2 linked regions of the Anolis sagrei genome follow. The protein of the gene in region 1 purifies or fractionates together with the protein of each later gene. This does not show direct contact. Links are inferred from orthologs where the notes say so. Each region holds a gene or a part of one and is shown on either strand. Other genes may lie near its edges.

Evidence for each region.
Region 2: the proteins of EHMT2 (region 1) and MIER1 purify together in Homo sapiens (co-immunoprecipitation; 3 studies listed by BioGRID and IntAct, with this or other methods). This does not show direct contact. The link is inferred for Anolis sagrei from reciprocal best matches to the Homo sapiens genes EHMT2 and MIER1.

Annotation. Positions count from the first base shown.
Region 1 is NC_090022.1:18,395,754-18,410,310, forward strand, and holds the start of EHMT2 (histone-lysine N-methyltransferase EHMT2), read left to right. Parts: upstream 1-7,437; 5' UTR 7,438-7,489; coding exon 7,490-7,510; intron 7,511-11,511; coding exon 11,512-11,578; intron 11,579-11,698; coding exon 11,699-11,938; intron 11,939-13,595; coding exon 13,596-13,900; intron 13,901-14,557. UniProt on the Homo sapiens protein: Histone methyltransferase that specifically mono- and dimethylates 'Lys-9' of histone H3 (H3K9me1 and H3K9me2, respectively) in euchromatin.
Region 2 is NC_090024.1:165,097,559-165,113,113, reverse strand, and holds the start of MIER1 (mesoderm induction early response protein 1), read left to right. Parts: upstream 1-8,468; 5' UTR 8,469-8,689; coding exon 8,690-8,698; intron 8,699-15,555. UniProt on the Homo sapiens protein: Transcriptional repressor regulating the expression of a number of genes including SP1 target genes. Probably functions through recruitment of HDAC1 a histone deacetylase involved in chromatin silencing.

The sequences.
Region 1 (14,557 bases):
CCTCCCCCTCTGCTTAAAGGGGCATAAATGTGACCTCGTTCTATCTCAGCAGCCAAAGAAACTGAAAAAAGTCACTGAAACAATATGGTGTCAGTAGGGAGGGTGAATTGATCTCAGCATAAGGCATTGCGGAGGTTGTCTCAGATCAGTCGCTTTTGATTTTGGTCAAAATGTAAATTGATCTAAGTCAGCATAAGGTGCAGAGATCAATTGCTTTTGACTTCAGTCAGAATCCAGTTGATGTCCCCCAGGTTGGCTAAAGGCACCAACAAGATTCTGACAATGTGTTGTCAAAGGCTTTCATGGCCAGTATCACTGGGTTGCTCTGTGTTTTCCGGGCTGCATGGCCATGTTCCAGAAGCAGTTTTTCCTGGCATTTCACCCACATCTAGGGCTGGCATCCTCAGAGGTTATGAGGTGTCATGGAAACTAGGCAAGTGAGGTTTATATATCTGTGGAATGTCCAGGGTGGGAGAAAAAACTCTTGTCTGCTTGAGGTAGAAAGTTGCAATTGGCCAGCTTGATTAGCATTGAATGGCCTTGCAGCTTCAAAGCCTGGCTGCATCCTGCCTGGAGGATCCTTTGTTGGGAGGTGTTAGCTGGCCCTGATTGTTTCTTTTCTGGGATTCCATTGTCTTCTGAGTGTTGTTCTTTATTTACTGTCCTGATTTTGTTTTTAAATACTGGTAGCCAGATTTTGTTCATTTTCATAGTTTCCTCATTTTTGTTGAAATTGTCCACATGCTTGTAGATTTCAATGGCATCTCAGTGTAGTCTGACATGGTAGTTGTTAGTTGTGCGTTCTCAGGGTCCACAATCAACCTGTCAGATTACACAGAGAAGCCATTGAAATCCACAAGCATGTGGACAATTTCAACAGAAAAGAGGAAACCATGAAAATCTGACTACCAGTATTAAAAAACTCTAAAATCAGGACAGTAAATAAAGAGAAACTCTTAAAAAACGGGAATTATATGAAACAATCAGGGCCAACTAACACCTCCCAACAAAGGATTCCCCCAGGCAGAAAGCAGCCAGGCTTTGAACCTAAAGGCCATTCAATGCTAATCAAGCTGGCTGGCTGCAACATTCACACTTGTCTCGAGCAGACAAGAGTTCTTTCTCCCACCCTGGATATTATTCCACAGATATATAAGCCTCACTTGCCTTGTTTCCAACAGACCTCACAACCTCTGAGGATGCCTGCCATAGATGTGGGCAAAACGTCAGGAGATAATGCTTCTGGAACATAGTTATACAGCCCAGAAAATTCACCACAACCCAAAGATTCTGAAACTTTGTCTACTATTCGCCAGTAAAAGTGCAAAGACTAGCAACACCCTACCAAGAAGTCTGTCTGCTTTGAAGACACTGGGTGACTAGCATAACGAAAGGGAAGTTGGCAACAACCTAAGTTTATTGTGTGAATTCTTCCAGAGCTCTAGACTTTTCCAAAAGCTTTGGGCAAACAAGAGTCTCTACTATGTAGTTTGACTTCAGAAGTCTGCTAATCTTGGAGAAAACAGTGCCCAGTTTGTCCAAACACCAAGAAACCAGCTGTGCAAGAGAAAACCAGAGGAGTGTGAGGAGTAGCTGTTAAGGAGAGGAAGGTTTAGTGTATTCTGGTTATCTATGACAACAATGTGTGATTGCGCATGTTTGTCCAAAACTATTTTTGAGAACAACTTAAGGATTTCAGTCAAGTTTCTAGTCCTCATGGCTGTGAGTATGTGCTTGAAACCTGCTGTGTGGTATCAGAAAAAAACTTTTGGAGTGTGATAATTTTTGTAAGTTATAGCACAGAGATTTAGAAACATGGGACACTCGTTTCAGGCTCAAGGGAGTCGACTGCTTTTTGTTTGTTTTTAAAGCAGTGCCTCAAACTCCACCAAACAGAGCCTGATGTAAAACTGTGAATGTAAGAAGGACTCTGCTGTTTTAGACCAAAGAACTATATAATCCAGAATCTTATGTATTTGGGAACAGCGCACGAGGGCAGTAGAACTATAGCTGGGAACAGCTACTTTTTTTGGACTACAGTTCCTTAAGTCGCTGGAGATTTTTGCAAATGCTCGTCCAAAAACAGTATTGTTTCCAAGTCTAAACAAAACGCTCCTGCTCTTCTTCAAGGCAAATGTCTGTCTTACTGGATGAGATCAATAACCACTGAAGTCTTACCCTCCATTGATTTCATTAGTCCCTCTTTTGAAGTTACTGGTCATTTCTTGCAAGCACAAAATCCCAAAAGTCACGTGCATTTTTTTTTTTGTGTCAGGAGTGACTTGAGAAACTGCAAGTCGCTTCTGATGTGAGAGAATTGATGGTCTGCTGGGACGTTGCCCAGTGGACGCTCAGATGTTTTACCATCCCGTGGGAGGCTTCTCTCATGTCCCTGCATGAGAAGCTACAGCTGACAGATGGGAGCTCACCCCACTCTCCTGATTCAAACCACTGACCTTTCAGTCAGCAGTCCTGCTAGTAAGGTTTAACCAATTGTGCTACCAGGGGCTCCGAAGTATATTTCTTTTTATCTGTCCTGAATCTCCATTCATCTTAAATGGATGACCCAGTTTCTAGTATTTTGCTGTTGTTGTGTGTCTTCATGTTGACATTGACCTTATCTCAGAGGGATTTTGTGGCAAGGTTTCTTTTTGCCTTCCTCTGAGCCTGGGAGAGAGTGATTTAATAACCCAAAATACCAAACTGGGTTGTGTAACCTGGACAGATGAGGAAAATCAAACCAAATGTACAATCTCTGTGCTATATATTTCCTCTGCAAATAAAAATGAAAGCAAAGTGTCATGTCAAGCATGTTACCTATGGCATTGGAAAGCCTGATTGTACTGGATAAACTCCATTTCCTACCTCTGCAAAGCAAGCATTAGCCACACATTTTCAAGTATTGATCATCACAGCCTTCAGAACTAGAAACTTGACTTATTTGTTTGCTTTTAAACAGGATTTAAATTCTCTGGATCACTGAATGCTGGACCCAGTCTCAAAATGCCTACTTACACAGAATCCTTGCAGCCATGAATTGGTCCCAGAGCTGACAAAAATGGGATATGGATTTTTTTCTCCTTGTGATGATATTGACTCTGATCTCCTGGACCCTAACTAGCTTTTTTGTTTTTCATTTTTTCTAAAAAAATAAATAAAAACCAATAAAAGCTGCTGTAATTTTGTTGCTTTGTTTAGACCGTGGGTGAAACATCAGTGAGGAATGGGACAAGTATTCCTGGCAGTTTGTGTATGGAAATGGCCTTCAACATTACTTTACTTACTTAGGGGATCCCTCGTAGTCCAAATATAATGGTCCTCCAAATGTAGTGTCTTGCTGATGGGTCGTAGGTGGCTGTGGAGACCTTTTCTTGATCCGCATCTTCTTCCACAGTGAGGACATTGATTTCCAGGTGGAAGGTGGTCCCAGTCAGGGTTGGCTTGACGTGCCTTCCTCTTGGCACATTTCTCCCTTTCGCCCTCAATTCGAGACTCTTCGAATTCTGCAGCACTGCTGGTCACAGCTGACCTTGAGTGTTCAAGGGCCAGGGCTTCCCAGTTCTTCGTGTCTATGCTACCGTATTTAAGGTTGGCTTTAAGACCATCTTTAAATCTCTTTTCCTATCCACCAACATTAAGTTTCCTGTTCTTGAGTTCAGAGTATTGTAACTGCTTTTGGAGATGGTGATTGGGCGTTCAGACAACGTGGCCAGTTCAACGAAGTTGATGGTGTAGAAGCATTGTTTCAATGCTGGTGGTCTTTGCTTCTTCCAGCACACTGACATTTGTCCATCTGTCTTCCCAAGAGATTTGCAGGATTTTTCGGAGGCAATGCTAATGGAATTGTTCCAAGAGTTGAGTGTGATGTCTGTAGACAGTCCACGTTTCGCAGGTATATAGCAGGGTTGGGAGGACAATCTATATATATAAAAATGCTCTGTGCGTAATGAGTACCTTAAAAACAAAAGAACCAATGAACGAAATAACACCAAATTTGGCAACAAAACATCTCACAACACAAGGAGTGACCATCACTCAAAAATTATGATTTTGTCATTTGGGAGTTGTAGTTGCTGGGATTTATAGTCCACCTATAACCAAAGAGCATTCTGAACTCCATCAACGATTGAATTGAACCAAATTTGGCACACAGGACTCCCCTGGCCAACAGAAAACACTAGAAGGGTTTGCTGGGCATTGACCTTGAGTTTTGGAATTGTAGTTCACCTACATCCAGAGAGCACTGTGGACTCAAACAATGATGAATCTGGACCAAATTTGGCACGAATATTCAATATAAACACAGATGGAGTTTGGGGAAAATAGACCTTGACATTTGGGAGTTGTAGTTACTGGGATTTATAGTTCACCTACAATCAAAGAGCATTCTGAATACCACCAATGACAGAATTGGGACAAACTTCCCACACAGAACCCCCATGGCCAACAGCGTTTTCTGGTGGTCACAAAAAGGGAGGAGAAAGAGGAGGCCATCCTTCCTATGGAGGGAATTAAACCTGGAGGTTTGATGCGCCCAATAAAGAGCCCCCTGAACACCTGTGTCTAAACATGTTGGACAGAGACACGTGTTTCCCAAGGAAGGGGCCTTGTCTGGGGGGGAGGGGGAATAAGGAAAGGGATCCCCAATGAGTCTCACTTTACTTTGGATGTCCAGTCAAGCAGCGAAGCTTGCTTTTTCCCTCTCTCCTTGAAAATGGTCCTTCCTACCCACTGGTTCTGCATCCACAACTTGCTGATAGGAAGACAAAAGCTGCTGAGCTTGTTGACTGAAAGGTCACAGGTTCAAATCCGGGGAGTGGCTTGAGCTTCCGTTGTCAGCCCCAGCTTCTGCCAACCTAGCAGTTTGAAAACATGCAAATGTGAGTAGATCAATAGGTACCGCTCCGGCGGGAAGGTAACAGCACTCCATGTAGTCATGCCGGCACATGACCTTGGAGGTGTCTATGGACAACGCTGGCTCTTTGGCTTAGAAATGGAGATGAGCACCAACCCCCAGAGTCAGACACGACTGGACTTCAAGTCTGGGGAAAACCTTTACCTTTACCTGTGTATATAATGGGGAAAAGATTAATAAATGTTTCCTGGGGACAGGAGCTGTTTGATAGTGAAATATGCTGCTGCCTTGGGGTGTAGAGGAGTCTCCTTCCCTGAAGGGTTTTAAGCAGATGCTGGGTGGTCATCTGTCAGGAGTGCTTTGATTGTGTATTCCTGCATGGCAGAATGGGGTTGGGCTGGTTGGATCTTGGGGTCTCTTTCAATTCTAGGATTCTTTGATTCTAAGAGAGTTCTGTCATCTACACTGTAGAACGAATGCAGTTTAATACTACTTTAACTATGTTATGGAATCACGGGATTCATAGTTTGGTGAGGGCTGGAACTAGTTAACAGAAGAAGGCGAAAGACCTTGGAAACCTACAACTCCTAGGATCCCACAGTAATTCAAGTGGCGACAGAGTGACTCCTGAAATGCAGAGAAGACTAAAGATCTCATGAAACTACAACTCCCATGGTTCCATAGCATTGGGCCATGCATAGCAGATCCAGTGAGGTCAAACGGAACAACTTCTTTAACTATGCTATGGAATAATGGGATTTATAGTTTGGTGAGGCTCCAGAACTAGTAGACAGAAGAAAGCAAAAGACCTTGGAAAAGTACAACTCCTAGGGATCCCATAGCAATTCAAGAGGTGACAGAGTGAATCCTGAGATGCAGATAAGACTAAACACTTTGTGAAACTAAAACTCCCAGTGTCCCATAGCATTGGCAGATCCAGTGGGATCAAACGGCACGGCTTCTTTAACTATGCTATGGAATCATGGGATTTATAGTTTGGTGAGGGTCCAGAACTAGTTGACAGAAGAAGGCTAAAGACCTTCGAAAACTACAGCTCCTAGGATCCCATAGCAATTCAAGTGGCAACAGAGTGAATCATGAGATGCAGAGAAGACCTTGTGAAACTACAACTCTCAGGGTCCCATAGCATTGGCAGATCCAGTGGGGTCAAACGGAACAACTTCTTTAACTATGCTACGGAATCATGGAATTTATAGTTTGGTGAGTCTCCAGAACTAGTTGACAGAAGGCTAAAGACCTTCGAAAACTACAATTCCTAGGATCCCACAGTAATTCAAGTGGCAACAGAGTGAATCATGACATGCAGAGAAGACTAAAAACCTTATGAAACTACAACTCTCAGGGTCCCATAGCATTGGCAGATCCAGTGGGGTCAAACGGTACTATGCTATGGAGTCGCGGGATTTATAGTTTGGTGAGTGCTAGAATTAGTTGACAGAAGAAAGCAAAAGACCTTGGAAAACTACAACTCCTAGGATCCCATAGCAATTCAAGTGGCAACAGAGTAAATCCTGAGATGCAGAGAAGACTAAAGACCTTGTGAAACTACAACTCCTAGTGTCCCATAGCATTAGCAGATCCAGTGGGGTCAAACGGCACGGCTTCTTTAACTTTGCTGTGGAATCATGGAATTTATAGTTTGGTGAGGCTCCAGAACTAGTTGACAGAAGGCTAAAGACCTTCGAAAACTACAACTCCTAGGATCCCATAGCAATTCAAGTGGCAACAGAGTGAATCATGAGATGTAGAGAAGACTAAAGACCTTGTGAAACTACAACTCCCAGTGTCCCATAGCATTGGCAGATCCAGTGGGGTCAAACGGCACGGCTTCTTTAACTATGCTATGGAATCACGGGATTTATAGTTTGGTGAGTGCTAGAATTAGTTGACAGAAGAAAGCAAAAGACCTTGGAAAACTACAACTCCTAGGGAACCCATAGCAATTCAAGTGGCGACAGAGTGAATCCTGAGATGCAGAGAAGACTAAAGACCTTGTGAAACTACAACTCCCAGTTTCTCATAGCATTAGCAGATCCAGTGGGGTCAAACGGTAGTATGCTATGGAGTCGCGGGATTTATAGTTTGGTGAGTGCTAGAATTAGTTGACAGAAGAAAGCAAAAGACCTTGTGAAACTACAACTCTCAGGGTCCCATAGCATTGGCAGAGCCAGTGGGGTCAAACGGCACGGCTTCTTTATGCTATGGAATCGCGGGATTTATAGTTTGGTGAGGGCTAGAATTAGTTGACAGAAGAAAGCAAAAGATCTTGGAAAACTACAACTCCTAGGGATCCCATAGCAATTCAGGTGGCGACAGAGTGAATCCTGAGATGCAGAGAAGAGTAAAGACCTTGTGAAACTACAACCCCCAGGGTCCCATAGCACTGGGCCATGCATGGCATGACTGTATAGAATGCACCCTGAGCCAGCCTTGGCCTCCTCCCCTTTTGTTGTCCTTGCTCTTTGTCTGAGCGCCAGGGAATCAAGCTGTGCTGCCCCTTTAAGAGATTTCCTCCTCCTCCTCTTTCCCTCCTCCTCCCCTTGCCTCGCTCGTGACGTCAGTGCGGGGCCGGGTCTGTTGCTGCTGCTGCTGCTGCTGCTTGGGCGCGAGGCCATGGAGGCTGCAAGCGCGGAGGTTTGGGGCTTCCGTGGCTAATGGCGGGAGATCGGTGGGGCGATGCAGAGAGAGGGGAAGGGGAAATAATCCCGAGGGTGGAAAGAGGAAGGGGCCCCGGTTTCCTCCCGTACTCATTGCATGTGGCCTTTGATTTTTGGGGAGCCACATGGGAGGGGCTTGGGTTTGCAAAGGAAATGCAAAAGAAATGTTTTGTGTGGGATGGAGGGGAAGGAGCTGTGCATGGGAGAAGCGGTAGTGTCTTGGAAATTTGGAAGTGCAGTCAAGGAAGGAAGATTCCCCACTGTTCCCAGATTGCATTGAGAGAATCATAGAGTTGGAAGAAGGACCCCAAGGGCTCTCCAGTCCAACCCCATTCTGCAATATAGAGCCAATAACTTTGGGACCTTGTCAGAAAAATCTCACAAATACTCCTTTTTTTCCTATTTTATGGACTTACAGATTCATAGTTGGGAGAGACCCCAAGGACAATCCAGTCTCACCCCATTCTTCCAGGCAGAAAGACACTATCAAAGTCCTCCTAGAATAATAGAATCAAAGAGTTGGAAGAGACCTCATGGGCCATCCAGTCCAACCCCCTGCCAAGAAGCAGAATATTGCATTCAAATCACCCCTGACAGATGGCCATCCAACCTCTGTTTAAAAGCTTCCAAAGAAGGAACCTCCACCACACTCCAGGGCAGAGAGTTCCACTGCTGAACGGCTCTCACAGTCAGGAAGTTCTTCCTCATGTTCAGACAGAATCTCCTCTCTTGTAGTTTGAAGCCGTTGTTCCGCATCCTAGTCTCCAAGGAAGCAGAAAACAAGCTTGCTCCCTCCTCCCTGTGGCTTCCTCTCACATATTTATACATGGCTATCATATCCCCTCTCAGCCTTCTCTTCTTCAGGCTAAACATGCCCAGCTCCTTAAGCCGCTCCTCATAGGGCTTGTTCTCCAGACCCTTGATCATTTTAGTCGCCCTCCTCTGGACACATTCCAGCTTGTCAATATCTCTCTTCAATTGTGGTGCCCAGAATTGGACACAATATTCCAGATGTGGTCTAACCAAAGCAGAATAGAGGGGTAGCATTACTTCCTGACAGATGACCACCCAGCCCCAGGTGAAGAACCACCAAAGAAGGAGACCCCACTAAGGGCCCTTCCACACAGCCCTATATCCCATAATATCAAGGCAGGAAATCTGCTTTGAGCTGGGTTATCTGAGTCTACACTGCCATATATTCCAGTTCAGAGCATAAAATGTGGGATTCTGTGTTATATGGCTGTGTGGAAGGGCCCTAAGCTCCAAGGCAGGATATTTCACTGCCCAACAACTCTTACCATCAGGAAGTTCTTTCTAATGTTTGGGTGCAATCTTTTTTCCCTGTAGTTTGAATCCATTGGTGCATTGTGTCCTAGTTTCCAGAGCAGCAGAAAACAAGTTTTCTCAATGGGACATTGTTTCAAGCATTTAAACAGGGATATCATGCCAATACTTCTTTTGATTTTCAATCTGGACAGTAAATGATGTTAAGATCACAAGTATCCTCCAGAAGGATGTACACAAACATTCATGTAGAGTTTCTAAGCATTTCCTGATAGAACAGTGTTTCTCAACCTAAAGGTCAGGACCTGGGGGGGGGGGGGGGGGAGTCGCGAGGGGGTGCCAGAGGGGTCTCCAAAGACCATCAGAAAACACAGTATTTTCTGGGTTGTTGTAGGTTTTTCAGGCTATATGGCCTTATTCTAGAAGCATTCTCTCCAGACATATCGTCTGCATCTATGACAGACATCCTCAGAGGTTGTGAGGACACAGTCCAGCCCGAAATAAATAAACAAGCGAAATAAATAAAGAAATCTGTGGATATGGAAGACCGACTATACTTGTATACCCGAATGGACCCTAGACCTTAATTTTAGATATTCAGTTGAGAGGAAAGGGCAAACATATAACACATAAACAATAAGATGTGAGATTCCCAATTGTTTTCAATAACTGCAAACCCAATTTCAATCTACATCAGGCATGGCCAAACTCTGGCCCTCCAGGTGTTTTGGACTTCAACTCCCACAATTCCTAGCAGCCTACCGGAGTTGGCCCATGCCTGGTGTAAATGCACCCCTTTTCTTCTTGAGTCTGCATAAGAGAAGTGGGCGGGGCTTACACCTTTGGCAATAGGCCACACCTCTTCTAGATGGGAGCTCCTTGATTAGAACTGGGTTGCACTTGGCTAGTTCTTGCCTCCAAATGGGTCGGAATTACTCCAAATGGGTCAGTTTATAGGAAAAACAGAGCAGGAAGAAGCAGGGGGGGAAAGATGCCCAAGAGGCAAGAAGATTATTTATTATTATTACCATTATTTTTGTTATTAGTATCAGTCTTATTGTGAAGTATGTCAGAAGAGGGTTGTCTGAAAGCTCTGGAGGGTTGAACTTGCTTTCAATTGTTTAAATAGCCAAGATTCAGATGTGGTTTGCCCATAGAAAGGTGTTTCCTGAATTTGGATTAAGGTTCTCTTAGGTATTGGCAGTTGTATGCTGTTGTCTATTTACTGTATTTTCAACCTTTGATACCTCTGGGCAGCACAATTGAAGGGAGATGTTGACAAGCTGGAATGTGTCCAGAGGAGGGCGACTCAAATGATCAAGGGGCTGGAGAACAAGCCCTAAGAGGAGCGGCTTAAAGAGCTGGGCATGTTTAGCCTGCAGAAGAGAAGGCTGAGAGGAGACATGATGAGGGCCATGTATAAATATGAGGGGAAGTCATAGGGAGGAGGGAGCAATCTTGTTTTCTGCTCCCCTGGAGACTAGGACATTGGACAATGGCTTCAAACTATAAGAAAGGAGATTCCACCTGAACATTAGGAAGAACTTCCTGACTGTAAGAGCTGTTCAGCAGTGGAACTCTCTGCCCCGGAGTGTGGTGGAGGCTCCTTCTTTGGAGGCTTTTAAGCAGAGGCTGGATGGCTATCTGTTGAGGGTGCTTTGAATGCGTTTTTCTGCTTCTTGGCAAGGGGTTGGACTGGATGGCCCACGATGTCTCTTCCAACTCAATGATTCTATGATTCAGGTGGGATACATTTTTCCCAATTTTATCTTTGCGTGCAGTGCAGCTGTGGGAATGGAGACAAAATCAAGGCATTTGTTGCTTTTAGATGCTTTCAAGTCAATCCTAACCTGGGATTTTCTGGAGATAAGAGTATGTGACTTACCCAGGCAAAAACCCCTAGCTATTTAAATATTTAAATAATATTATCATAATTATTACAGAGCCCAACATAATAATAATAATAATAATAATAATAATAATAATAATAATAATAATTTATTTATAACCCACCCTCTCTCCCCGATGGTGAGAGGGTGGGGTATAGATGTGTGTATATATACACATACGCACACATCTATGCACCTATACATACATATATATATCTATATATACACACACACACACATGCAAACACAAATATATATACATATACACAAATATATATACACACAAAACATACACCAACTGGGCCACAGCAGCGCGTGGCAGGGGGCAGGGAACATACAGACACACATATATATACACATGAGCACACACAAATATACATACATAAACACATGCACACATACACATATATACATTATGCATGCACACACACATACATATATACAAATACATTCATATATACTCACATATATGCATATACACAGGCAAGCATATATACACATATAAACACAGAAATACGCAAATATATATACACACATATATGCACACACATCTATACACCTATATGTATATATACACACATACATACATACACACATGCAAACGTACACATATACACAAATACTCAAATATATATACAAACAAAACATATACACAAACTGGGCCACAGCAATGCGTGGCAGGGGACAGCTAGTAACACATAAAAATAGAGGTAAAATTACATCAAAATATTAAACAACAACAATAATAAATGCACCCACAGTCTTGCTGAGTTCTATGTATCCACTTCTTTGCTCCTTTTCTCAGGGCGAAGCTCTCCGAGGGATATCAGGAGGTGTGTCGTCCCTGGTAGAAGCGGGATCAGACGAAGCAGGTAATTTTTTTGGAAGTTTGGGGTGGAGAATGGGGCAGGTGCCCTTCTCTTCTGTCATCAGGCCCAGGTTTGAAACGTACACATAGTATCGTGAGCATATCGGTGTCTCTCTTTTTCTAGATGCCGCCCCCTCCAGAGATGGACCCAATCCTTCCTCGGAATCCTTGTCCCCTCGGAAGTTCAAAAACGCTTTGGGAGGAGCGTCCGAGAGCTCGCTGGCTTCTGGCAGAAACAGCGACGATGGAGCACGAACGCAGGTGACCGGGAATAATAAAGAAGCAGGAAGCTTATCGCCCGAAGCCGGAGGGATTTCGGCTGGATCCACTACGAGCCCAAGCCCAGGGAGCAAAGGCTTGCCAGGTGAGAAGGAAAGAAGGCATATTGTGAAATTGCATCCACGTGGCTCCAATGCTGTGGGTTTAGTCTATTTTTCTGCTGTTATACCTTCTGTTTGTACTTTATAATATCTTTTGTTCCTAATGGCTTAATTTGAAGTCATGCTACCCCTCTCTTTTGCCTTGGTCAGACCACATCTGGAATACTGTGTCCAATTCTGGGCACCACAAATGAAGGAAGATGTTGACAAGCTAGAATGTGTCCAGAGGAGGGCAACTAAAATGATCAAGGGTCTAGAGAACAAGCCCTATGAGGAGCGGCTTAAAGAGCTGGGCATGTTTAGCCTGAAGAAGAGAAGGCTGAGAGGAGATATGATGAGCGCCATGTATAAATATATGAGGGGAAGTCATTCATTTGTAATGAATGTTTTGTCAATAAAAGTACATTTAGGCACAAGTCCCCATTTTCCCCCTTTGTAACTTCTAAATACAGTCCAGCTTTGATCTTTTGATAGTAATAGTTCTTTATTTGTGAGGTCCACATTGATTACACGATGTAACAAAATTTGAAAAATTATCGTGTTCCTGGTTTGAAAGTGTTATTTCCTGTTTAATTGTGCAGTACTAGCTTCAGCTAGTCCAGCGCGCGGCAGCCATGTTACTAACAGGAGCAGGACGCAGGGAGCATACAATGCCCTTGTTGTTCCAGCTCCACTGGCTGCCGATCTGCTACCGGGCCCAATTTAAGGTGCTGGTGCTATCCTACAAAGCCCTAAACGGTTCCGGCCCAAAATACCTTTCGGACCGCATCTCGGCCTATGAGCCCACGAGGACCTTGAGATCGTCTGGGGAGGCCCTTCTCTCGATCCCGCCTGCCTCACAGGCACGCCTGGCGGGGACGAGGGATAGGGCCTTCTCAGTGGTGGCCCCCCGGCTGTGGAACACCCTCCCCGTTGACATCAGACAGGCGCCCTCCCTTATGTCCTTCCGGAAGAGCCTGAAGACATGGCTATTCGAGAAGGCATTTAACTAAATGCTACAGTAACTGGAAATGACAACTGGAACGGAATATAGACTACGAGACTGGTTATGATTCTATGATAAGACGAAGCGGATTATTTTAGTGTGATTAGATGATAGTGTACTAGTGATATGTTGTTTTTGTCGTGTAGTTTATTGTAAAATATGTTTTTTATATGTTGTACACCACCGCGAGTCGCCCTAGGGCTGAGAGCGGCGGTTAACAAATGCAGCAAATAAATAAAATAAATAAATAAATTACTTTGAAAGTAGTTGTTCTACTCCATAAACTTCATTTTTGTGGCTTCTACAAACTATGTTGAAATGGTTAAGACCCTATGAGATAGTCAATGAATAACTATAGCAAAATGTGCTGCATGATGTCCCACGAAAACAATGTTTTTGCAGTTTAATAAACTTTTTCCATGTTTTCATGCTAGAACCAATTTGGAAATGACATTTATAACCCACGGACAAGAATCTTACTACATAGTTTTATCGGTTTTGGACTTCAACTTCCAGAAACTTCAGTGATGATGGATTCTGGAAGTCGAAGTCCAAAACATCGGGAAGGACTAAAAGTTGAGAACCCCTCATCTGTGTAAAGATTGAAGACTAGAAATGTAGTTGAGGATTCTTTGTTCAATTGCTTTTGGTTTCAGGCCACGCGGCCAAGACTTTCCCCTCATCTCCCAGCAAAACGGGTGGTCCGAGCCGGGCAAAGATGTCACTCACCGGAACCAGCAAATCCCCGACGTCCATCCAGAGTTTGGCCATGCGCCTGCTGAGTATGCCTGGGTCGCGGCTTCCTGGAGATCCTGGGATGCCCACAACAGAGACTCCGGCCTCAACCTTGGGCCCAGCCTCAAACTCATCCCCGACTCAGTCCCCATCCCCGGCAGCTGAAGAGGTCAAGCCCAAGGTCCATCGGGCACGGAAAACAATGGCAAAGGCCAGCACAGTGCAGGTAAATCTGCTCACGTATTTTATCACTTGCAGAGGGACAACACATGTGTCTATGGCTTGGTCGCTTTCAGTTGCGTACCTGAAATATTTCCAAACTTTCAAAAGTTCCAGACAGACAGACTTTTCCCTAAGAAGCAGGGCAAGCAAATTCAGAATTTTAGAGCTAGAAGAGACAGACCCCAAGGGCCATCCAATCCAGTCCCTTTCTGCCATGGAAGAACACTTAGTCAAAGCACTCTGGACAGATGACCGTCCAGCCTTTGATTAAAAACCATCTAGAGAAAACTTCATCACACTCCAAGGCAGCATATTTCACTGCTGAACACCTCTTACCATCAGGATGTTCTTTCTAACATTTAGGGCAGGGATCCTCAAACTTTTAAAGCCGAGGGCCAGTTCATGGTCCCTCAGACTGACTATAATTTGAGAAAAAACATGTATGAATTCCTATGCACACTTCACGTGTCTTATTTGTAGAGCAGAGCAAAACCATACAAGAACAATACCAGTATTTCAGTGAGAAGTGCGGGCCTGCTTTTGGCTGATGAGATGATCAAGTTAATTAGGATTGTTGTTGTTATTGTGTACCTTCAAGACGTTTCAGAATGACCCTAAGTCTAAAGTTTAGGGTGGGGGCTGATAAACGACCTTGCAGGGC
Region 2 (15,555 bases), on another chromosome or scaffold:
GCCGAATTAATTCACTACAAACCAGAAAAACCCTGGTTTGTAGCGAATTAATTTGATAGTGGATTTATTCCGTGCCTTCTTGGAAAGTGCAGGATAAACCCATTATTTCTGGATCTGAACTGCAGAATACGGAAGTCCAGACATTATTCCCACAGGGCATAATAATAATAATAATAATAATAATAATAATAATAATAATAATAACAACAACAACAATAACTTTGTTTATAGACCACCCTCTCTCCTAGAGGGGACTCTGTATAGTTACAAAACAAAAAAGGCAAACATTCAATGCTCAGACAAATGCAAAAAACAATTACAATGCAATATAATAAAAATAATGACAGTGAGCTTATTGTATAAACATTGACATCAAAATGTAAAACAGGATACAAATAATCACATGAAAACTGGTTACCCTAATCACATACTCAACATTAAAACATCTCAAATTATAAAAACAATTAAAGTAAATGAAAATTGGCTGCTATAGTTGTTCCTGAAGTATACCAAAGAGAACACAGGGTACAGCCTCACAGCCACTGTTTGCTTCCTTTTCCTGCATATCACTGCATATCACTTGGATAAAACAGACAATAAAGTTAAAATACATCTAAAATAGATCATCAAACATTTTAAGTTAATTTATATTAGCACTGGACTGGTCCCAGCATACAAACACCGATGTCTTATTAGATGCAGCCTTTGTCCATGGTTTCCTTTGCTACTGTAGAAGAGAACATACATAACTATTTGTTTCTAGTACTCTTCCAAAGTCAGAGGAAAGCAAAGGCAACACCCTCTGAACAAATCTTGCCAAGAAACCTGTGATAGATTCTCCTTAGGATCATCAGAAGCCAAAAATAATTTGAAAGGACACAACAAAACAGATCTTCCACAATGACATCACACACCATTTTATTACTTTCTGCATTTTTCAAAAAAAAAATGTGGCTGGTTTTAGCCAGATCATTAAAGGAAATCTTCTTTTCCATATTATCCCATCAGGCATCAGAAAAAAATTAGACACCTGAAATATAACTTCGCAATTACCTGTATTTTAACTTGCTTAGTGGAAGCAGAGGATTGCAAATTCATGCCTTGATTTCAGCTGGGTTTGAAGAGATTTTAGCCAAATGAGAGCAAAAAAAATATGAATGAATTTGCTTTCACAAAACAGCTGGATCAAAAAGAGACGGGTTGTGAAACTAATTCCGCATCTACCTTCTACGTATTTACTTGGTAATTTGTTATGCAGCAATGTCTTTTGGCCAGGACAATAATTATTTTGTTATGTAATGACCATTAAAACATAACAAAAACACAAATGTGTCTTTACATAACAAAACATATTTTGTTTTGCAAAGGACTGGCCTCTGTCTCCAATTCAATCCACAGTCTAAATGCTGCCCAAACGCAATTCTAAACATAGTACCTGCACATATTTTTAAATCAAAGCTCAATCCTTCTGGTTCTACAACTCAAAGATGTTGCTGTGTTAGTCTGGAATATAGGTACGCAAAAGTATCTTTCCTAGCACTTTAGAGACTGGGGGTGCAACCTCTACTTGATAGAATTAATGTGGTTTGACATCACTTTGATGCCAATGCTCAGTGCTATGGGATCCTGGGAGTTGACGTTTGTTGCAGCACCGGCACTCTGGGGCAGAGAAGGCTGAACAGGCATAGGCAAACTTGGGCTCTCCAGATGTTTTGGACTTCAATTCCCATAATTTCTAACCGCCTACCAGCTATTAGGAATTGTGAGAGTTGAAATCCAAAACACATGGAGAGCCAAAGTTTACCCATGCCTCTTGTAGAACTACAGGGTGCGGCAGCATAACTTCCTTTTCCCAAAATTTAATAAAACCCATTGTATGAATCATATTTTTTTTATAATGTAGGCACATACCAAAGTTTTGTTTTACGTAGTTTTGAAGATCAAATTAGGTAGATGACGTCCCCCATTCTCGATACACTGAGTAAACCGATTTCTGGCGTTTGTCATGACTCTTGCCAGCATAGCAAGCGTTATGTTGGCAATTTCTTCCTGGATGTTGGTCTTCAAATCTTGTAGTGTCCTTGGACGGTTCACAAAAACATAGAATTTCAAAAAAAACCATACAAGATTGATCTTCAAAACTATGTAAAACAAAACTTTAGGTATGTGCCTACATTATTAAAAAATTCTGATTCATACAATGTGTTTTATTAAGTTTTATTAAGTTTTGAAAAAAGGAAATTATGCTGCTGCACCATGTATAACTCTAGTGATTCCATAACATTGGGGCATAGCAGTTGAAATGGTGTCAAATTATGTTAATTCTACAGCATAGATGCACCCATACTTAACCTCCAAGTTATTTAGTCTCTAAAGTGCTCAAAATCCCTTTGAATACTGGTTACAGGCAATATATGGGGAGCGATCTATACGTGTTTGTTGGCTGCCTAAAATCTCTTTTATTTCAAAAGATGAGACGTGATGAGGAAACAAAAAAAAAACCCAAAAAAAACAAGAAATAGGCAGCAACTGATATTTTTTTTTTGCCAACTTTAGTCTGACTTCCTGTATTTCTCTCACATTTGCAAAGTGAACCAGACGTGAAATGCTTCACGTATTTGTGTGTGTGTGTGTGTGTTCATTTCTTCTCAAATAACAGCTCTAAGGGACAGGAAGCCATCCAAAAAAACAGGCGGGAAAACAAATGCTAATACACTTTCTCCCCTTTTAGATAATTCCCAGATATTTGAAGCTCTCGTTACTAGGTGACTGAGGCGGGGGTCACGGTGGTTTGAGAAACAGAAAAGTTCAAGATCATGAAGATATGAAACCTTGCAAGGAGTTTATTTTTTTTAAAAAAATACATTTTTGCATATGATATGGGGGCAGTGGTTGGGGGGAGAGAGAGGTAGATGGTGGCACTATTGCTATTATCCAGATGGAAACTGTTTTTCCTAAAACATAGTAACCAATAACTCTAGTTAGGAATAGTTTGCATGGATTTTGCTTTGAAAATGTCTTAAATTCAAGTGAATGGTAAAGTATGTTATACTTATTTTGCACAAGTTGCCATTTGGATACACATTTGATTATTTCTGAATGTATGTTTTCTGATTACATATTAGATTGTGTGAAATAATTAATAATAATAATTTCAAAAAGAGAAACAGAAAAGTTGATCCAGCAATTGAGAAAGGCTTTTCCCCTTCACCCTCAGGATATTTTTCAGACTTCAAACCTTTCCTTATGCTTAGCAAGCATGAGAAGTGCGTGTACTTTTATGTTTTAATCACATAAAACCCCTAAATGTATTATTTATTGAATAATAATAATAATAATAATAATAATAATAATAATAATAACAATGGTTGTGGGAGAATGATATGTCAAAGGGTTTCGGTGGATGGAGGATGAGGAGAAATGAAGTGTCTATGGGCCCTTCCACACAGCTCTATATCCCAGAATATCAAAGCAGAAAATTCCATATTATCTGAGTGTGAGCTCAGATAACCCATAATGTGGGATTTTCTGCCTTGACATTCTGGGATATAGAGCTATGTGGAAGAACCCTACATTGCATATAAAATCCAGATTATCTGCTTTGAACTGGGGTATATGACAGTGTGGACTCAGATATCCCAGTTCAATTTGCGATGTTGTGTTGTTATTGAATTGGTAATTGTTTATTGCCCAATTAGATTTGTCATTGTTATAGTGTACATTTCTCATCATTGAGAAATCTAGGCCAGGAGTGTGCAGGTACAGCTGTACCAGGAGCTCCCATTTTGTTTGCTTTGCATTGAATGTTTGTTGCAGTCCTAAGTTTCAGGGACTCTGCAGATAGGTGGCTTCTTTTGGCTGCAATCATAGGGCAAGCCACCTGTCAATTATAGTTAGGTTCCCTGGTCCCGCCCCTTTTTGGGTTTTTGGAGGGAATAGGAGCCTTTTTGGTTCAGTCCACACAGAGAAGCCTTTCGCACAGGACATAATACCAAGAGCTCCTGTAGAAAGCTTCATCTTCTACGGCTTAGCCAGGGAGATACAGCCCCACAGCTTGGCCGGAAGATATACAGCCTTACAGCTCCTTCGCTGAGGGACTTCAGTCAGCCATCACTGAAACCTGAACTCCTTTTTCCCTGGAAGTCTACAAAGCTCTGCTTGGTAAGGGTCGCTCGCGGAAGCCAGACGCAGTTGGTACCGGGTGCAGGGGCTCCACGCCAACAGAGGCAAAGACAGACTGCCCAGATTAGAAGTTAAGAATTTCCCTATTAGCTTAAATATTTATTTATTTATTTATTTGTTTTATTTTTATACCACATTTTTCAGCCTAAATTGGCGACTCATGGAAATACAGTTTATGAAGATAGTGCCTGTTCCCTGTGGACAAGACTATGGAAATACAGTTTATGAAGATAGTGCCTGTTCCCTGTGGACAAGATTGAGAGAGAGCCAATAGACTGTTAAGTAAACCTTAAAGTACCTGTTTGTTTTCATTAATAAAGAACTTTGTTGAACCTTTAAGCAATCTAAAGACTCTGATTTAAGGAAATCCAAGGGCCTTTAACCTGAGGCAGCCCCGGCATCCCGTTGGGCACACAGAATTTAAGTCCTTTCTACAATTTTATGCACAGGCCCAGTGTGCGACAGCACATGTGGACTCGGATAACCCAGTTCAAAGTAGATATTGTGGGATTTTTTGCCTTTTATTTTATTTTTATTTATTGTGTCAGGAGCAACCAGACATTTGTATTACATTTTTAATAAAACAAACAAACAAACTGACAAAACACAAAGTTTGCGAGCTTGGTAGTTGATTAAATGTCTTTTGACCAGTAGCTGGCCACTTGGAGTGCCTCTGGTATTGCCGCAAGGAGGTATTGGCTGCTACTTCCCGGCGGATGTCAGGTGGTGCAATACCGGCTAGACAGTGTATTTTCTCCATTGGTGTAGGGCGCAGACACCTGTGATGATGCAGCATGTCTCATTAAGAGCCACATCCACTGTTTTAGCATGGTGAGATGTGTTCCACACTGGGCAAGCATACTCAGCAACAGAGTAGCATAGCGCAAGGGCAGATGCCTTCACTGTGTCTGGTTGTGATCCCCAGGTTGTGCCAGTCAGCTTTCGTTTCTAGTACCCACTTTTTGCTTGATTTTCTGCCTTGATATTCTGGGATATAGAGCTGTGTGGAAAGGTCCTTCATTGCATATAATATCCAGATGATATGCATTGAACTGGGGCCCCTTCCACACCTCTGAACAAAATCCCACATTATCTGCTTTGAGCTGGGGTATATGACAGTGTGGACTCAGATAACCTAGTTCAAAGCAGATATTGTGAGATTTTCTGCCTTGACATTCTGGGATATAGAGCTATATGGAAAGGTCCTACATTGCGTATAAAATCCAGATGATCTGCTTTGAATTGGGGTCCCTTCCACACCTCTGAACAAAATTGGGGTATATGACAGAGTGGACTCAGATAAGCCAGTTCAAAGCAGATATTGTGGGATTTTCTGCCCTGATATAATAGGTTATACTAGCTGTGCCCTGCCACGCGTTGCTGTGGCCTATAGTAAAACTTATCAAAGTTGAGGTAGATATCTGGACTATTATGAAAGAGAGGTACCTACCTATTCCTTCCCCCTTTTCCTCCCCCTTTCTCTACTTTCTTCCTTCTCTCCCTCTTTCTTTCTTTCCTTCTTTCACTACTTGGTTTCATCCTTCTCTCTTTCCTTCATTCCCTCCCCCTTTCTTCCTTTGCCTTTCTTCCCTCCCTGTTTGCTTCCTTCTTTCACTTTTGATTTCCTTTTATTTCACCACCATCATAACAATAACAATAATGCAATGCATTGCCTCTGGGACCTGACACCTCTCCCATTCCCCCTAAAAGGGTCTCATAGGAACAATAGCATCATAATAATAATAATAGAAATAACAACCTTTACCCGCCACGTGTTGCTGTGGCCAATCTTCCCTCTTTCTCTCCTTCTTTCCCTCCCTGTGTGTGTGCGGCGGCGGGGGGAGTGGGGTTGCATGTGTGTGCGGCGGTGGGGGGAGTGATGGAGCGTGGGGTTGCGTGTGTGTGTGCGGCAGCGGGGGGAGTGATGGAGCGTGGGGTTGCGTGTGTGCGTGCGGCAGGGGGTGTGTGTGTGCAGGAAGCGGCGCGGCGGGGCTTGGAGTGGGCATGGTTTCCGCAGAGGGAACGTTGGCCGGAAGGCCATGTGTGCGCGCGATGGAACTTGCGGCTGGGCGCCAATGCGCATGCTCAGTTGTTTTGCCGTTTTGTGAGTGTGTTGTGTTGTTTTTCATTTTGAGTAGATATGTTTGTACCTTGTGGGTTGTGTTATGGGCACGGGAATTTTGGTTAAGTTTCGTTGGGGGATTTTTGAGTTTTGTTGTTTTGCCGTTTTGTGAGTGTGTTGTGTTGTTTTTCATTTTGAGTAGATATGTTTGTACCTTGTGGGTTGTGTTATGGGCACGGGGATTTTGGTTAAGTTTCGTTGGGGGATTTTTGAGTTTTGTTGTTTTGCCGTTTTGTGAGTGTGTTGTTGTGTTGTTTTTCATTTTGAGTAGGTATGTTTGTACCTTGTGGGTTGTGTTATGGGCACGGGGATTTTGGTTAAGTTTCGTTGGGGGATTTTTGAGTTTTGTTGTTTTGCCGTTTTGTGAGTGTGTTGTTGTGTTGTTTTTCATTTTGAGTAGATATGTTTGTACCTTGTGGGTTGTGTTATGGGCATGGGAATTTTGGTTAAGTTTCGTTGGGGGTTTTTTGAGTTTTGTTTCCTTGTTGGATGCCCCTAACAAATTTATATATATAGATGGCTGTGTGGAAGGGCCCTGGGTTACTGAGTCCACAGTGAGATATATCCCAGTTCAAATCAGATAATGTGGGATTTTATTCAGTTACTAGCTGTCCCCTGCCACGCGTTGCTGTGGCCCAGTCTGGTGATCTGGAAAATAAAGTAATGAGAAAGTGTTGGTTTCTAATATATGTAATTCCTTTATGCTTGTGAGTAAACAGTATTTCTTGTTGTTTCTTTGTCAGTGTTGATGTGGAGAGTGTCTGGTTTGCCACCTCTGGAATATGCAACCTATCATAGTCCTTCTTTAAGGGTCTCTTTCAAATCTATGATCCTATATCTCTCTGTGTGTGAGAGAATCATATCTATCTATCTATATTTATGACTGGATGGCTCTTTGTCAGGAGGGCTCTGATTACGTTTTCTTGCCCTGGTGAAGAGAGTTGGACTGGATGGCCTTAAGTATTTTCTGTTGGTCATGGGGGTTCTGTGTGGGAAGTTTGCCCCATTTCTGTCGTTTGTGGGTTTCAGAATGCTCTTTAATTGTAGTGAACTATAAATCCCAGTAACTACAAATCCCAAATGTTAAGGTCTATTTCCTCCAAACTCCATCTGTGTTCATATTTAGGGATATGGAATTTTTGTGTCAAGTTTGGTCCAGATCCATCGTTTGAGTCCACAGTGCTCTCTGGATGTAGGTGAACTACAACTCCCAAACTCAAGGTCAATGCCCACCAAACCCTTCCAATGTGTTCTGTTGGTCATGGAAGTCCTGTATGGCATGTTTGGTTGAATTCCATCATTGGTGGAGTTCAGAATGCTCTTTGATTGTAGGTGAACTATAAATCCCAGTAAGTACAAATCCCAGATGTCAAGGTCTATTTCCTCCAAACTCCATCTGTGTTCATATTTGGGCATATGGAATATTCGTGCCAAGTTTGTTCCAGATCCATCATTTTTTGAGTCCACAGTGCTCTCTGGATGTGGGTGAACTATAATTCCCAAACTCAAGGTCAATGTCCACCAAACCCTTCCAGTTTTTTCTGTTGGTCATGGGAGCCCTGTGTGGCCCAATTCCATCCTTGGTAGAGTTCAAAATGCTCTTTGATTGTAGGTAAACTATAAATCCCAGCAACGACAATTCCCAAATGACAAAATCATTTTTTTTGAGTGGAGGACATAAATTGGACTGTTAGGTGTCTTGTGTCCAAATTTGGTGTCAATTCCCCCAGTGGTTTTTGAGTTTTGATGGTAGCACGAACTAACATGACATTTTTATTTATAGAGACTGGAAGGGGCCCCAAAGACATGGGAAACATCTGCAATCTTGCGCGCTGTTATTATTATTATTATTATTATGCAAAGGCAGGCCTGCGTGACACCTAACGAGGGGGGCACGAGCCTTGCTCTATTCTTGCCCTCAAAAAGGAGGGGGGAGGGGGGAGCGAGCGTAATTACAGTTGGAAGAATGGGAGGGGGAAAAGGGAGGAGGGTGTCGTTTCTCGAACGCAGCGCGCGCGCGGAGGTTAAAAAAAAATAAAACCCCAATCAAACAAATGGTCTCGTGACTGGTCGAAAAAGGGAGGGGGAGGAGAGAGGAGGAGGAGGAGCGCGCGGGAGAGGCGTCGTCGTCGCCGCCGCTGCCGTCGCGGGCGCGCCCACCTCCTTTGCGTGGTGACGTCGCCGGGCCTCTTCCTCCCCCTGGTGGCGCCTTCCCTCCCTCCCTCTCTCCCTCCCTCCTTCCCTAGCAGAGCTCGCCGCCTCCCAGAGACCGCTGTGACCCGCCGCTCTCGCTCCCTTCCCGTGCCACTTCCTCCTCCTCCTCCGCCGCGGCGGCGATGTGATTACCCCACTCCCGGCTCGGCCCGCCCCAGCTGCGCGGCGAATATGGCGGAGGTGAGTGAGGGAGACCCGCGGGCGTCTAGAAGGAAGGAAGGAGGGAGGGAGGGGGAGAGGGAGGAGGAGGCCGGAGGAGGAGGAGGAAGAGGAGAGAGAGGGGAGTCGGGGCCCGGCCGGGAACTTGTTGCGCGGCAGCCTCTCTGTGCAAGTTAGTTCGGCTGAAGGTCCCAAGGCCGGCCTGGGTGGCAAGCGGGGCACGACTCGAACTCGCAGCCTTCTCAGGGCCCCACTGGAACTTGGAGGGGAAGGAGGGGGAGGAAGGGGGGAGCTCTGCCTTGGGACACAGGGAAGGTAAAGGGGAAAGGACATTTTTGGATGGAATAGCGAGGGAAAAGGCTGGTATCTTGCTGCCTGGGATGATCAAATTGTCACCCAAGTTGCCCCTACCTCGCTTTTTTGGCTATTGTTGAACTTACGACAGGCATGAGCAAACTTGGGCCCTTCAGGTGTTTTGGACTTCCACTCCTCCTACCATTCCTAACAGCCTCAGGCCCCATCCTTTTCCCTCTCAGCCACTTAAGGAAGTGGCCTGAGGCTGTTAGGAATGGTGGGAGTTGAAGTCTAAAAACATCTGGAGGGCCCAAGTTTGCTCATGCCCAATCTAGGTAATATTATTATCCTTTGATTTAGGGGACTCTTTATGCTGAACCTCTTTTTTCCTCTGTTCTTTCAAGCTGATTCATTTTTTTTAAAAAAAATAGTAAAATTTTTTTGCCCAGTCTTGACTATGCACCCCTCACCATGGAGCCCCCGGTGGCGCAGTGGGTTAAACCCCTGTGCCGGCAGGACTGAAGACCGACAGGTCGCAGGTTCGAATCCGGGGAGGCGGATGAGCTCCCTCTATCAACTCCAGCTCCTCATGCGGGGACATGAGAGAATCCTCTCACAAGGATGATAAAAAATCAAATCATCCGGGCGTCCCCTGGGCAACGTCCATGCAGACAGCCAATTCTCTCACACCAGAAGCGACTTGCAGTATCTCAAGTCACTCCTGACACGACAAAAAACAAAAAAAAAACCCTCACCATATGTCAACCCATAGCCATTTGTATCACAAGTTTATTATATTGGAGTCGATTTTTACCCCGCATGAGTACACCAAGGCAAGACCCAAAGCGACTTAACACAGGTATGGATAAGTTTCGGCCCTCCAGGTGTTTTGGACTTCAACTCCCACAATTCCTAAGAGCCTACCAACTGTTTGAAATTGTGGGAGTTGAAGTCCAAAACACCTGGAGGGCTGAAATTTGTCCATACCTGTGTTAAGTCGCTTTGGGTCTTGCCTTGGTGTACTCATGCGGGGTAAAAATCGACTCCAATATAATAAACTTGTGATACAAGTGGCTATGGGTTGACATATGGTGAGAACAGCCCTCAGATAACCCAGTTCAAAGCAGATGTTGTGGGATTATATGACTGTGTGGAAGGGTCCTCACTGAGCAAAATTGAATCTTAAAGGCTGTCCAATAACTCAAGATCCAGGTGGTGAAAGATACATAAAAATATAAAGATAGTGACTGAAGACCGCTTTTGAATTTAGCAAAAAAAACAAAACCCTACATAATATATAAGTCAAAGGAAATGCGAGTTGTCCAGAGCCATACCCAACATATATCTCACAACCACAGAAGTATATGTTTCAATCACTCAAAATGGATAGTAGTATAATGTAGAAATTTGGAACACGAAAGTTGGGTGTTCTTTACTGCTGAAGGCAAAGTCTTCAAACTACCTTATATACTTATTTATAAGTTGACTTCATGTATAAGTCAGGTTCAGGTTTAGGGTTCAGAATTATGGATTTTGCTATGACCTGTGGATAATCGAAGAGTCATTTCACAGAGAGGGGAAGTGCCGTCTCCTCAAGTCCATCACTGCCATTTCCCCACCCAGGCATTCAAAAAGACTAGAAGTGATGCCAAGACAGAGAGAGTAGAGACGGCTGGTGCTTCTTTTAAGTTTTCCTGGAATAGTCTAAGCTCTTACCTTTCACCACTGTACTCAGAGAAAGAATGGTCTCTTTTTATATACAAGAGCTAAGATATAGTACTCACATTGACTCATGGGTAAGTCAGCCCAGTTTTTCTGAGTTAGTTTTTTTGACTATTTTTTTAGACCTATACATAAGTATATAGGGTAAGATTGTAAATAGTTACTCACCTAAGTTTAATTCTGGTGTTTCTCCAAGCAGTAATGCTATGTACATGGTGTCTTTATTTTGGACATTTTAAAAGTTACATGAATGTTCTATGTTGAGTCATTTCTGAAACTTTAGTGCTGTGATTAATAGATTCCCTCATCTCAGTGACTTCTTTGAAGGAGAAAATTTCATGTGTTTACAACTCAGTTGGACTCTGCATGGAGTCCCTATGCTATCCATACTTTAAATATGTGACAAAGGAAAGAGTTGAACACCTGCTTTATCCTATATATTTCATTTTTTCCAAGGTGGTTATCAGAAGCATTTTTTTTAATGATAGAATTTTCACCATGTTTATTTATGCATTTGTGATATGTATGGAATTCTGCACTTCACAGTGGATTATATAGAAGTTCTAAAAGCATAGTAAACAAAGCAATAAAATAAATACAATTAGCAGCAAAATAATTATTAAAAATAGATACTGAGAGTAAAAGGTGTTTTACTCTTAATCTTTATTTTAAATTAGTTTTGAAATGATCCTTAGATCAAAACAACATGGGCAAGAAAACTCAACACACCAAAACAACTAGACATTATAGTATCAGGATGCCACAATGGAAGAGGCAATAATAAACAACTTTGTACATTTTCTAGGCCTAGTGAAACCATTCATTTTAGCTCCTTTAATAAGGAGTGGAACCTAATTTTTTACTTTTATTTTTGGTGATTCAAAGATCTAAGATACGAAGTCTACACGTTTGCTTTGCATGTTGTATTTATCGAGCCAGAGGATGGAATGTGGTTATTAAAAAACCCCTTGAAGTCTTTCTCATTAGTTGTTTGGAATATGGCCATATAGGTGTTGGTTTCAGTGACATTCTCCAGTCTACCTGATATGAATTTACAAAACTGTTAAGAGAAGTTGTTAATTCTTACCGTTTGATATACTGTTACTGAATTTATTGGTATTGTTGAATCAACATGAAGAGTTGCAGTATAATGTAGAAAATAATTTAGATTCATGGTAATAGCTGCATCTATTATACCTTAAGGTTGAATTGATATCATTCTTATGGTAGAGAACACAAATTTCAAAAGGTCAAGAGACATCATGGAAGTCTGTCACATTTAAAACAGAACTTTTTGCTGCTGTTAGGATCATGAAGCATGCTTTAAGACACTAGTGATCAATGGTACACCTTGTCCACAACACTTATAGATTGGTGTGGTTTAGATTTGATAGATATAGAATTGCAAAATACTTCCAAGAGGCTTTTAATTTGTCAGGCAAGAAAACATGTGCAACCAAATCCTACTATTGGTGATTCAAAAGTAAATTCCACTGTATTTAGTGGATCATTATCCACTAGTTTGTGTATTTGTTATTTCAGCCATCTGTAAATACACTTTGGAAATCATCATTTTATTGTTTGAGAAATTTCTTAGGTATATGCAATCATTAGTAACTTGATACCTCCAGAGATTAGTATTGGAATCTGTATCGAAATGTTCCAGTGTATCTGCAGCTTCCTAAAAAGTGTATCATTGGTTCAAGGATTCCAACCAGCCATTCTGAACATCATAATGTTTTATAGTATGCTTTGATTTGTTTAAATTTTATCTTGTTTTTATATTTTAAGCCATACCACCCTGAAATCCCTCTTCTTTTTTAAAAAACAAAGATACTATTTACTAATTCTTCTATCAGCATTATTTCTTGCACAGACTGTAACTGTTGAGTGTGCCTGGTCATTATTATTTTTTTGCTATTTTATTAATTTTCAAGTTTAATGCATTTCTGAACATTTTGTGGTTCTTCTGAAAATGCCAGTACATCTGGCATACTTCTCACTGACAGAATTTTATTTTCATAAACACTTGTCACTGGATTTTTGTTTGTTTTTTTTTTGGTTAATTTTGCCTCTGCATAAAATATGACATGACACAAGATGGGTAAGTAGCAAATCCTAGTCTTGGTGCTTGTAGTCATGACTGCAGTTGTGATTAACTTGGTACAACCTAGGGTTTTCCACAAATGCAGAATTTATCCCTACTTTAAGTGACATGCTAGCCACCATGTTTATGCTGTCTGTTGAGAGGGTTAGGCCTGGTTTATAGGTAATTAGAAAACCCTGTTCTCTAAGTTCAATTCCAGATGTAGTATTGATAAGATCCTTAAAAAAACTTCGTCTTTAAGACTGAAATAATTTTTCAGAGTTGTGCTTTTGAGTATTTATTTAATTGACACATATGTTTAGAATTGCAATTTGACAGTATTTTTATTTATTTGTATACTGCCCTTCTCAGCCCTCAGGCAACTCAGGGCGGTTTACAGAGGCAACGATTCAATGCCCAATACGCTATAAAACATTTGAAAGCATGAAAACATAATATAAAACCATAACAATAGTATTAAAAATATACATAAATTATGTCTCCTAATAAAAACATTGTCCAATCCCTTCGTCCAGTCATTCCAATTCCTATGTCATCTATCTTACATTTTCAAACACTTGTTCAAATAACCAAGTCTTGACTTTTTCCCAAAATGTTAAGAGGGAGTGGGCTGATCTAATGTCCCCAGGAAGGGCATTTCATAGCCGAGGGGCCACCACTGAGAAGGCCCTGTCTCTCATCCCCACCAAACGTGTTTTTCTTTACAGGGGCGGGTCAGTATCTACTTTGAGATATAATAAAAGCCCAAGAGGTTTCAGTATTTATTGTTTTCTTATATTGAGTTCTTTGAAGCGAATACACTCCTTTCTTTCGTTAAAAAGAGGCAAAATACTAAAATTCATGGAATGAATGTGTGTGTGGACACTGTATTCTTATCTACACTGACGATTTAATGCAGTTTGAAGTTGGCTTCAAACCATTGTGACCAGACAACAAACCCCCTCAAAAGCATACAAAAGAAATCCTTTAATGTAAATAAGTGATCTGTGTTTGTGTAATCAACATCTGGATGTTTCCAGGATTTCCTGTGTAATCATCTGCTCAATGAAACCACTTTCTTCAATATTGGGTTGAAACTGCATTAAATGGTCAGTGTAAATGGCTACAAAGTGTGTGGTTTTAGGGCAGTCGTTCCCAACCTTTGGCCCTCCATGTGTTTTGCACTTCAGGATTTCTTGAAGTTGAACTCCAAATCAACTGGAGGACTAAAGGTTGGGAACCAATGTTTTAGGGGATTCTGGGTGTGTTTTTGACACAAACCTTTGGCAATGACAAATTTTAAATTCTTAACAACCATAAGTTGCCATCATGTCATTGAACAATTAGAAATAATCTAGTACAGAGGGACGTACTGTTTCTGATACTCTTAGAAATAATGTACAGAGGAACAAACTTGATTTTCTGCCAGGGATGGGAGCAAGGTGGCGGTGTTGAGGAGTTGACCATCTCTCCGTTGCCATGGACCGACCATTTCCTGATCAGATTTAGGCTCACTGCGCCCCCCAACCTCTGCAAAGGTGGAGGACCCATTAAGTTGGTCCGCCCCAGGAGGCTTATGGATCCGGATGGATTCCTGACGGCTCTTGGGGAGTTTCCCGCCACCTCGGTAGGTGACCCTGTTGATGCCTTGGTTGCTCTCTGGAAAGGAGAGATGTCCAGGGCAATTGACACGATCGCTCCGGAACATCCCCTCTCAAGTAGCCGAGCTAAACCAGCTCCTTGGTTTACTGAGGAGTTGGCAGTGATGAAGCGAAGGAAGAGGGAACTAGAGAGCGTGTGGCGTTCAGATCCGAGCGAGTCAAATCGAACACGGTTTGTGTCCTTTTTAAGGGCATATGCCGCGGCAATAAAAGCCGCAAAGAAAACTTTCTTTGCGGCCACTATTGCGTCTGCAAGGAACCGTCCGGCGGAGTTGTTCCGGATTGTCAGAGGTCTTTTAACTCCCTCCACTCTAGGCGGGAGCCCTGACAATTCGGCCACGCGCTGCGAAGCATTTGCTCGGTTCTTCGCAGACAAAGTCGCTTTGATCCGTTCCGGTCTGGACACCATATTAAATGCAGTCTCTGAGGATGTGACACGAGCACCTGCTTGTCCTATTTTGATGGATTCTTTTCAATTGGTGAAGCCCGAGGATGTGGACAAGATACTTGGAGGAATGAGGCCTACTACGTCCATCCTAGACCCCTGCCCATCCTGGCTTCTGAAGGAGGCCAGAGGGGGATTGGCTGAGTGGGTTAAGGTGGTGGTTAACGCCTCCCTTCGGGAAGGCGAGATTCCAGCAAGCTTAAAACAAGCTATTATCAAACTGCTGTTGAAAAAACCATCACTGGACCCCACTAGATTTGACAACTTTTGGCCAGTTTCCAATCTCCCCTTTTTGGGCAAAGTCCTGGAAAGCGTAGTGGCCTCACAACTCCAGGTATTCTTGAGAGACACGGATTATCTGGATTCGGCACAGTCTGGTTTCAGACCGGGGCATGGAACTGAGACGGTCTTGGTCGCCTTAGTGGATGATCTGCGCCGGGAGCTAGACAGGGGGAGTGTGTCCCTGTTGGTGCTTCTGGACCTCTCAGCGGCCTTCGATACCGTCGACCACGGTATCCTTCTGGGGCGCCTTGCGGAAATGGGTCTCGGGGGCACTGTTCTACAGTGGCTCCGGTCATTTCTGGAGGGTCGCACCCAGAAGGTGTTATTGGGGGACACCTGTTCAACGCCACATCCTTTGACTTGTGGGGTTCCACAGGGCTCTATACTG